Linked DNA regions of Canis lupus familiaris. The protein of the gene in region 1 purifies or fractionates together with the protein of each later gene. This does not show direct contact. Links are inferred from orthologs where the notes say so. Each region holds a gene or a part of one and is shown in the gene's direction. Other genes may lie near its edges.

What was found. The genes of interacting proteins can lie anywhere in the genome.
Region 2: the proteins of RNF25 (region 1) and UBE2E2 purify together in Homo sapiens (affinity purification with mass spectrometry; 3 studies listed by BioGRID and IntAct, counting the BioPlex papers as one, with this or other methods). This does not show direct contact. The link is inferred for Canis lupus familiaris from reciprocal best matches to the Homo sapiens genes RNF25 and UBE2E2.

The regions. Positions count from the first base shown.
Region 1 is NC_049258.1:25,146,379-25,151,056, reverse strand, and holds the start of RNF25 (E3 ubiquitin-protein ligase RNF25), read left to right. Parts: upstream 1-1,853; 5' UTR 1,854-2,010; coding exon of another isoform or gene 2,011-2,253; coding exon 2,254-2,294; coding exon of another isoform or gene 2,295-2,559; exon of another isoform or gene 2,560-2,574; intron 2,575-4,525; coding exon 4,526-4,600; intron 4,601-4,678. Other genes in the region: STK36 (serine/threonine-protein kinase 36), read right to left, coding at 197-274, 385-525, 1,465-1,530, 2,011-2,559. UniProt on the Homo sapiens protein: E3 ubiquitin-protein ligase that plays a key role in the RNF14-RNF25 translation quality control pathway, a pathway that takes place when a ribosome has stalled during translation, and which promotes ubiquitination and degradation of translation factors on stalled ribosomes.
Region 2 is NC_049244.1:20,994,815-20,999,252, reverse strand, and holds the start of UBE2E2 (ubiquitin-conjugating enzyme E2 E2), read left to right. Parts: upstream 1-1,388; 5' UTR 1,389-1,491; intron 1,492-4,438.

The DNA.
Region 1 (4,678 bases):
CTCTGTACTCAGAGATTTGAGCTCCAGTGTTCACATACTTTCCTGTCACACCACACTGACTCCATAGACACCCAGAGTCTTGTATTTTCCTCAGGACTTTTCAAAATGGTGACGGTCAGTGCCCCGAGCTTTCCCTACCAGTCCTTAAGCTGAAAAGAGGTCAGGGGAGAGGAGAAGTTTGAGCCAGGAAAGGTACCTGGTCTTCAGGAAGTTTTCCGTCATCTTCCAAGATCTGAAAGAGCTCTCCCTCAGCATAGTCTGTCACCACCACCACCTGCAGGGAGAAGACAATGGTACTGATGGCTCCAGATTTATGCATTGTGAGGTCAGGAAATTTCTGGGAGCCTTCTTCTTGGGGAAGGGTGACCCAAAACCCAAGTGCACCTCTTTGTCAGTTTCAAAGCTGTCAAGCATATGCACTATGTTAGGATGCCGCAGACCCCGCATGATTTCAATCTCTCGTTGCAGATTTCTCAGCTCCTTCTCTGAGCGTCCTAATTTTGGAATGAACTTCAGGGCCACCACCTGTCAGTGGTAAGATGAAACATCAAGGCCTAATCACGCTATTGAAACATTCATCTCAGAGTTCCAGAACTCAGGCTTTAGATTGAACAAATTCTCATTACCCACTAGTCAGCTACTCCCCTTACCCCATATACCCTGGCCTTATCTAGGCCTCCCCCACCCCCTGCCCTAGGACAAAACAGCCTCCACCAGGCAGATCCCTTTGGTGGATTCTGGGAGAGGTGTTCTAATCTGGGTAAAGCACTCTGGGTAAAGATTTAAGGGAAAGAAAAAAAAAAAAAAGATTTAAGGGAAAGAGAAAGAAGAAAAAAATGAAGAAAGAATAGAGTTCAAGTGGTCTCTCTCTTCTGCTATGGCTTGACAGAGAGAATAATAATAAACATAATTTATTTACTGTTTACTAGGTGCCAGACACTATACTAGCGTAGTGATTCAGTGTTAATCACATTTAATCCTCAAACCCCATCAATCAGATACTGTTTTTATCCTCATCCTAGAGATGAGGAAAGAGACGCTGAGAGGTTAAGTAACTTGTCCATAGTTCAAAGGCTACAAAGTGGTGGACTTAAGATCTGAACTCAAGTAATCCAATATTAGAGCTCCTACTCTGTCAGAGGAATGAGAGAGTGCTTCAGGAATACTGGCCGGTAATCTGGTCCCATTTTCCACAGTAGTTGGAGGTACAGAATCCCACCCAAGAGACGCCCCTCTTTGTGCACCACCTGAGCACTGTATTTTCTTCGACCCTTATACACCCTCCCAAAAGAGCCTTCTCCAATCATCTCCAACACGTGGTACTTTTCCATGACAGAGGCTTCAGGATCCCTCAGAAGGAAGGAGGTAGAGATGGTGGTGAAGAGCTACAGCTCCAGGGACAGGTCTACACATCTAGGAGGCCTGGTGCGGGCATGGAAGAAAGCTTAATGTTAGCCACCTTGCCTTTTCCTTTTTCATAATAATCCAGGCTTCAAAAACATCGTAGTGGAGTGAATGGCAAGACGAGATCTCGGAGCAAACAGAGCGCCTCTTGTCGTTCTCCCTCCTTTCCAGCCCCCCCCACCCCACCCCAACTCCGTTCCCGTAGGACGCAGTGGCCCCCTTCCCTCTCCGCGCACACCCGACCGCCCGGCCCCGCCCCCTCCCCCGCCCCAGCCGCGTCCTCGCCCCGCCCCCTCCGCCCAGCCTCGCCCCCCCGCCCCCCCCGCCCCCTCCATCCGGCCAGACCCACCGACCCCGCCCCTCCCAGCCTCTCCCAAGTTCCCGCCACCGCCAACCTGCCCAGCAGCCCGCCCACGGCCCCGGCCGGCGCGCTTCGCAGACCGGAGCCCCTCGCTCACCCCCAGCCTAGGCGCTTCCAGCTCCTCAGGCCGAGGGACGTGGGCCCGGGCCCTCAGCCCCGCCCCGCCCGGCTGCCTGCACACTTTGCCTGACTTACAATTCTTCCCCTCCCCCCCACAGCCGGACTCTTTGGACTCCCACTGTTACCAGCTGTAGTCGTTGGAATTGGCCAGAAGAAGCCCAGAGGACAGAGGCGCTCAGGCTTTGGGAGAGACGGAGGACTGCCCATAGGCACTTCCTAGGGCACTTCCGAGCCGTCCCTTGGGCCTCAGGACCCCCTGAGGACCCGGAGTCCACGGTTGCCTGGAAACGGCTGCGCGCCGGCTCCCTCCTCGCCGCCTCCGACTTCCCAGAGGGCATTTCCGGTTCCGGCTGTGGGCCGGAGGAGACATGGCGGCGTCTGCGTCGGCAGCTGCGGGGGAGGAGGACTGGTAACTCTCGGGGCATGGGCTTTGGCTGGCCGCCTGGGTCCGGTCCCGGAGACTGGCGGTGGCCGCGGACGGTCCGTACGGCGGGCTTGTGGGGCGGAGCGAGGGATAAGGGGTGGCAGCGGCGCTGACATGTCTTCTTGAGAGAGCTTCTGTACCGGGGAGCTGAGGGTGGAGGGGCACCGATCGGACGGGAGAGGAGGCCAGGCCAGCTCGGGCCGCGCCTTAGCTGGCTCGATCCCCTCTTCTCTGGCCTCACTCGTCTCATTGTCCTGAAGTGGATTTGCTCAGGGTCCCAAGGATGCCTGCTTATCACCTCTCCCACCTCCCTTTTACCTCCCGGAGCCGATGCCCTCCAGCCCCGACCCCTTTCCCCTTGGGTCAGCCTATTTCCGCCGAGGTTTTCCTCAACCTTCTCCCTCCCCGACAGCACGAATGAGCTTGTTTGAATAAAGCTTTACACCTCACACAAAGCTCTCCTAGTCCTTCTCTCAAGCATTCTCAACAAGAGACCCAAACCTGGAAGGACTCTGGGATTGGAAATAGGATAAATGTGGGTTCACTCCACATTTTATTAGCGTGTGATGCTGACCGGGCCACCTAGCTTCTGTGAGTCAGTGTCCTGAGATGTAAAAAAGTGGGTGTGGCATCTACCTCATAGAATAGTTGAGAGGCTCACGGTGGATTTATACATAAAAGCGTCCTTTTTCCAATTGAGGTGCGAGCACCTGAGGGGACTAGATGAAGCCTGAAGAGGTAAATCGATTTGCCAAAAAGGTGCATACCTATGACCTAGGAATCCAGGTTATCTGATTCTGAATCATGTTTTTGGTACTAGGACATTATACAGTCTCCCTACCCTCACCCCCTTTTTTGTCACCACCTCACATCCAGGTCCCAAGTCACAACTAGGGAAGGTGAAGCCTCTTCATGGATGTCATTGGTTCAAGGAGCCCAGCCACTGTTGGCCTTTTTGAGACTATCTAGGCTCATGGTTTTCAACTTATTTAGGGAAACTTTATGATTCTGAGGAGACACGTTGAGCCATGGAGAGGCCAGTAGTGATTGCACAGTTAGCCTGTGGTGTCCTGAGACTCCCACACTCACGTCAACCCAAACCACACCACTGTTATCTATTTTATATTTTGAGGGGCCTAAGACTTAAAAAGAAAATTTGAGAACGAGTAATATATGGGATATGCTAGAGCAGCCCTGCTCTTGATGAAGAAGGAACAATAACTGTAAAGGAAACCAAGCATGCGTCCTTATGTGCATTACCTGAGCAGAGCTATGGACTTGAGCCTATCACTAATCTTCAGTGTCATTACAACTCCTGTTTCTTTGATTAAACATGTATGTTCTCTCGTTGACATCAGGGCCACCTGATCTTGACCTAAACAGGTTGATCTAGATCAACCAGATAGCAAGGGTCGTAAATACATTGAATACCGACTATATCCTTTTCTTTCGTTTTTACAGGAGAAGGTTATATACAAATAGGAGAAAAAAGAACCTAGACTACATACTATGGCCAAGATATTATTAGATACTTTACATAAACAGCCTTTTATCATTACAATAAATCTAGACAGTAGGTGGCATTACCTACATATAGTAGCCAGAGTGACTCAAGCTTACGGAGTTACTCAGATCATGTAGCTATAAGTGATTAGTACCTATTACTCGAAAACTGGTGGCTCTTCTGCTACATCATGGTATTTATACCACCTAGACCTCTTTTTCTGTTCAGGTTGCTATCTCCTTGAGTAGGCTTAGGGTAACTGATACTGAGAGTATGTGTAGACACTGGAATCCACATGAACAGTGGTGTAGGGAAAGCTAGGAGTGGTATTGGTAGCCTTGATGTGAATCATTTGACAGCTTATTTCTGGGTCACAGAGATAGTCAACCAGCAGCACGATGGAATTTAAACAGAGTCAGGCTCTGTTTCTAGTTCTGCCTGTTAAACTTTGGTATTTGAGCCAGTCATTTCACCTTCCCAAGAATCCATTTCCTCATCTCTTGACAGGAATAGTCCCTTAAACTCTGATTCCCATGCTTCCTACCTGGCCCCTTGACAATGTAAGAAAATCTATTTCCCCTGTTTTTATGGAGGTTAGCAAAAGAACGCACTCAGGCAAAATTTCGTTTTGTAAAAGTCAGCCATCACAGGCTCTAGCAGGCTTTGATGGGGAGAGCTGTAATGGTGAGCCAATCTCCTCCTGTCTCTCCAGGGTACTTCCCTCTGAAGTCGAGGTGTTAGAGTCTATCTATCTGGATGAACTACAGGTGGTTAAAGGAAATGGCAGGTACGTATTCAACTGAAGGTGGGCAGGAGTCCCCTTAGTAATGAGCAGATTTCATGCAGAATCCATGAGCCTTGATTC
Region 2 (4,438 bases), on another chromosome or scaffold:
TTATTTAATTCTCACAGCAACCTACTGAGATAGGGGTATTGCAGCCTACCATGGAGGTACACCGCATATCTACTATACTCACATTGTCCATTCTCTGGAGAGGAAAGGACACTGGAAATGGAGTTTATCATTGATCTTGCCTACATGATGAAGGCTCCATTAAAATCCCTGAAGGGGGGGTTCAGAGAACTTCCTGGCTGGAAGTTCTACCTACATATCTATCTCCTGGAAAGGGTGACACATCCCAACTCCACAAAGACAAAAGCTCCTGCACTCAGAATCTTTCCACACCTCACCCCATGTATCTCTTCATCTGACTGTTCATAGGTATCCTTTATCATATCCTTCATTATATAATAAACTGGTAAATGTAATTGTTTCCCTGAGTTCTGTGAGCTATTCTGGCAAATGATCAACTCCAAGGAGGGGGCTGTGGGAACTTCTTTTGTAACCAAATCATACAGAAGTTGTGGGTAACCTGGGAACTTACTACTCACTATTGGTATTTGAAGTTGAGAGCAGTCTTGTGGATTTAGCCCTTAACGTACGGGATCTGCACTAACTCTAGCAAGTCAGAATTAAATTGAATTAAAGTGTAGGACATCCAGCTGATGTCACAGAGAATTGCCTTGGTGTGTGGGGGAAACAAGACCCATGTATGTAGTGTCATAAGTATTATGTGTGTGAGTAAAGCAAGAGAGTTTCTCCTGTATACTCCTAATGATTTTCACCTACTAAATTCACACCTTTGTTTAAATTTCTCTTCTTGAGCGTGGGTTAAACTTATGCACTCACTTCTACCACATAGAACACAGCAGAAGTGATGGGATGTCACCTTCAAGATGAGATTAGAAAAGGCTATGGCTTCCATTATGGATGCTTTTCTCACTTGCTCTCTCACTGTCTCCTGTACCTTGTGTCACACACTGAAATGTGTCTCTCCCAAAGTCTGTATGTTGAAGTCCTAACCCTTAATGTGATGGTATTTGGAGATGGGACCTCTAGAGAAGTAATTAAGGTCAAATGAGGACATAAAGGCTGGTGTCCTTATAAAAAGAAGATGAGACATCAGAAATCTCTCTCTCCATACATGCACAGAATAAGGCCATGTAAGGACATGGTGAGAAGGCCACTGTCTAAAAGCCAGGAAGAGCACTCTCACCAGAAGCTAAAATTGTCAAGACCTTGACTATGGACGTCTAGCCTTCATAACTGTGAGAAAATAAGCGTCTGGCATTTAAGCTACCCGGGCTGCAGTATTTTGTTATGGCAGCCCAAGTAGACTAATACACATGTCATGAGGCAGTCCTGTGGAAAGAACTGTATGGCCAGGAACCAAAGCTTTTCAACAACTACATGAGTGAATTTGGAAGCAGATCTCCCTCAATCAAACCTTCATATGAGACCACACTTCTAGCTGACAGTTTAACTGTCAACTTAAGCCAGAGGCACTCAGCTAAGCTGCACCCAGATTCCTGACCTGCAGAAACTGTAAGATAACAAATGTTTATTATCATAAGCTACTAAGATTTGTAGTAATTTGTTATGCAACAATAGATAACTAATATATGGAAGTAATGCTCAGTGTCAAGAGATTAGGTAGATAAGGTGACTAACCAGAGAGTCAGCCCCAAATGCATTGCCAAAAATCAAAAATTTTTTAAAAAAGGAAGGAAAGAGTCAGAGCAGGGAACTGGGAATTCTAGTCTGCAGTCAAATAAAATATAGATAAGGAGGCAAAAGCAAGGAACAGACAACTGGCCAGGCAAATGAGAAGCCATCTTTGTAAATTCCAGAATGAGAGGGCCCCAACCTGAGATTGGATGCTCCAGGCCATAAGGTTTACTAGGTTTACTTCCAATATCCATAACAAATAGGTAAGGTGGTGTCTTAGTTTGAGTTATCCCAGAAACATATTTTGAAATAAAGATTCAAGGGAAAGTAGTTCATTCGGAGGTGATCCAAAAAAAAAAAAATACCACTAATGGAGAAGGGAAGTAAAACAGGAAAGAGAAGAAAGTGAATGGCATATTCTGTTCGGGCTGCTGTAATAAAATACCATAAACTGGGTGGCTCATAAACAACAAATATATTCCTCATAGTTCTGGAGACTAGTCCAAGATCAAGACCCAGGCAAATTCAGTCTGGTGAGAGCACTTTTTCAGGTTCCTAGATAGTGCCTTCTAGCTATTCTTCACATCACAGAAGGAGCTCTATGGGGTGTCTTTTATAGAGGACTTCACTCTCATGATCTAAGCGCCTTCCAAAAGTCCCACCTCCTAATACCATTACATTGGGCATTGAGTTTCAACATATGGATTTTGGGGTGGGAGGGAAGGTACACATATACATTTGGCATATAGAAGACAATAATGAACACGTCAAGGGAGGGGGAGGGCATGAATTCCCAGTACCTGTTGCCTATAAAGACATACATGTGCTAGTAATGGGAGGTTAGCTGTGTGCCTGGACATAATAAGCGCCAAGGGGATAAGAATGAGACACTGGGAGCATCTGCTACATTAGGCCCTCTGAAGAAGCCTATAATTGTCTAGGTAACAACTACATACAGTCTTTCTAAATGAAACCATTAAAAATTACTATCATGAAAACCTGTCAAAATGAACATGATTGTTATGCTTTTTTAAAGAGATTTGAAAGAGTAAATTCAAATGAACTCAATCTCATTCTTGCACTAAATCTTGACTTGGGTCAGAGACCTTTGAAAAGTTACTAACTTCTCTGAGCCTTAGTTTTCTCGCCTGTAAAATGGACGCAATAATTCCTACTATAGTTGATAATTATGAGATAAAGTATGTCAAATATGGAGAAAATTCAATTTTTTTAAGTTTAAAACTGCTACAATAATTTAGTGATGGCAAATGTGCCAAAGGATTGCTTAAACAAAATTAGTAACACTACATAAAGTCAATATTAGTATATACTATAGATTGGATGTTTGTCCCCCAAAATTCATATGTAAAGTACCTAACACCCAATGTGATGGTATTAGAAGGCAGGGCCTCTGGGAATTGACTGGATCATGAGGATGGAGACCTTATATAAAAGAATCCAGAGAGTTCCCTTGTCCCTTTCACCATATGAGAACATGACAAGAAGGTAATTGTTTATGAACTAGGAAGTACATTCTCAACAGGCACCAAATCTGCTAGCACCTTGACCTTAAACTTCCAAGTATCCAGAACTATGAGAAATAAATTTCTATTGTTTATAAGCCACCTGGTGTGTTGCGTTCTGTTAAAGCAGCCCAAACAGACTAAAATAGTGTCCTTGGAATAACAGGGTCAACAATGCTTATCAGTATCAAAATACTTAATCAATGAGCCATTGTACAGACAAGTATTTCTTACCACTTTCTTTCACATTCCAATGCTAAAATAACATAAAAAAGCCTAATGTTGTTTTCAGGCATATCCAATCAAAAATTTGTTATTTCTTTATTAAGGCTATTGTATAAAAAAGAAATATCCTATCAAAATGGTGAAAATTCATCTAAATAAGTTGGAATCCTTAGGGGAAAATGAGCTTTGCATGTGAAAAAACAAAATAACAGAGAAAATGGAGGAATAGCTCTCCAAAATTATAATTTCTTAAATTGTAAAACTGCACTGCATTGACAAAATTTGTCAGTATATAAACTAAAGGAAGGAAGCACCCTTTTTTTTTTTTTTTTTTTTTTTTTTGAGTTTGCTTCTGGAAAACTCAGAGCTGGAGATGAAATTTAAATTCACGAAGAATTGCCAAACAAGTAAAGCAGGGCTAACTGGCCAAAAATAAATAAACTAACTCCATATATGTGAGAAATGAATAGAAACACTATACATTCCTGTAAGTATCCCAGGGTTCATAAAAATAGTTCAAAAACCTCTGAAAATCTCTGATAAATAGACACAAATATTTAAGACACTTTAAAATTGGCAACACTATCACATGGTAGTGTGATACCAATGTGTGACAAACCAAATAGGAGGTTGTTACAAAGAGTTTGGGGTTTTGTGTTTTTTTAAGATTTTATTTATTTATTTGAGAAAGAGAACATGAGCAGTGGGAGAAGCAAAGGGAGAAAGACAAGCAGACTCCCTGCTGAGTGTAGAGCCTGATGTGGGCTCCATCCCAGGACCCTGAGATCAGGTCCTGAGTTGAAATTAGACCGAGCCACCCAAGCCACCCCCATGCGTTGGGGTTTTTTTATGCAAGTAAGAAAGAGGTACATATTGCATCAAATTAATAAGGTATAGGAGGTCCAGAAGCAGTGCTTGGAACAGGCAGACAAAATGGAATGGCTCAGAAGTTCCATCTGTAAATGCTGAGCAACTATTGAGGCATTCATTCTTTTTTTACTAAACCAGGCAAAAACCAGAGATAAATCCTTACTGAGCTCAGAAAAGACTGGCCAAAGTGTGCCAGAGCCTCTGAT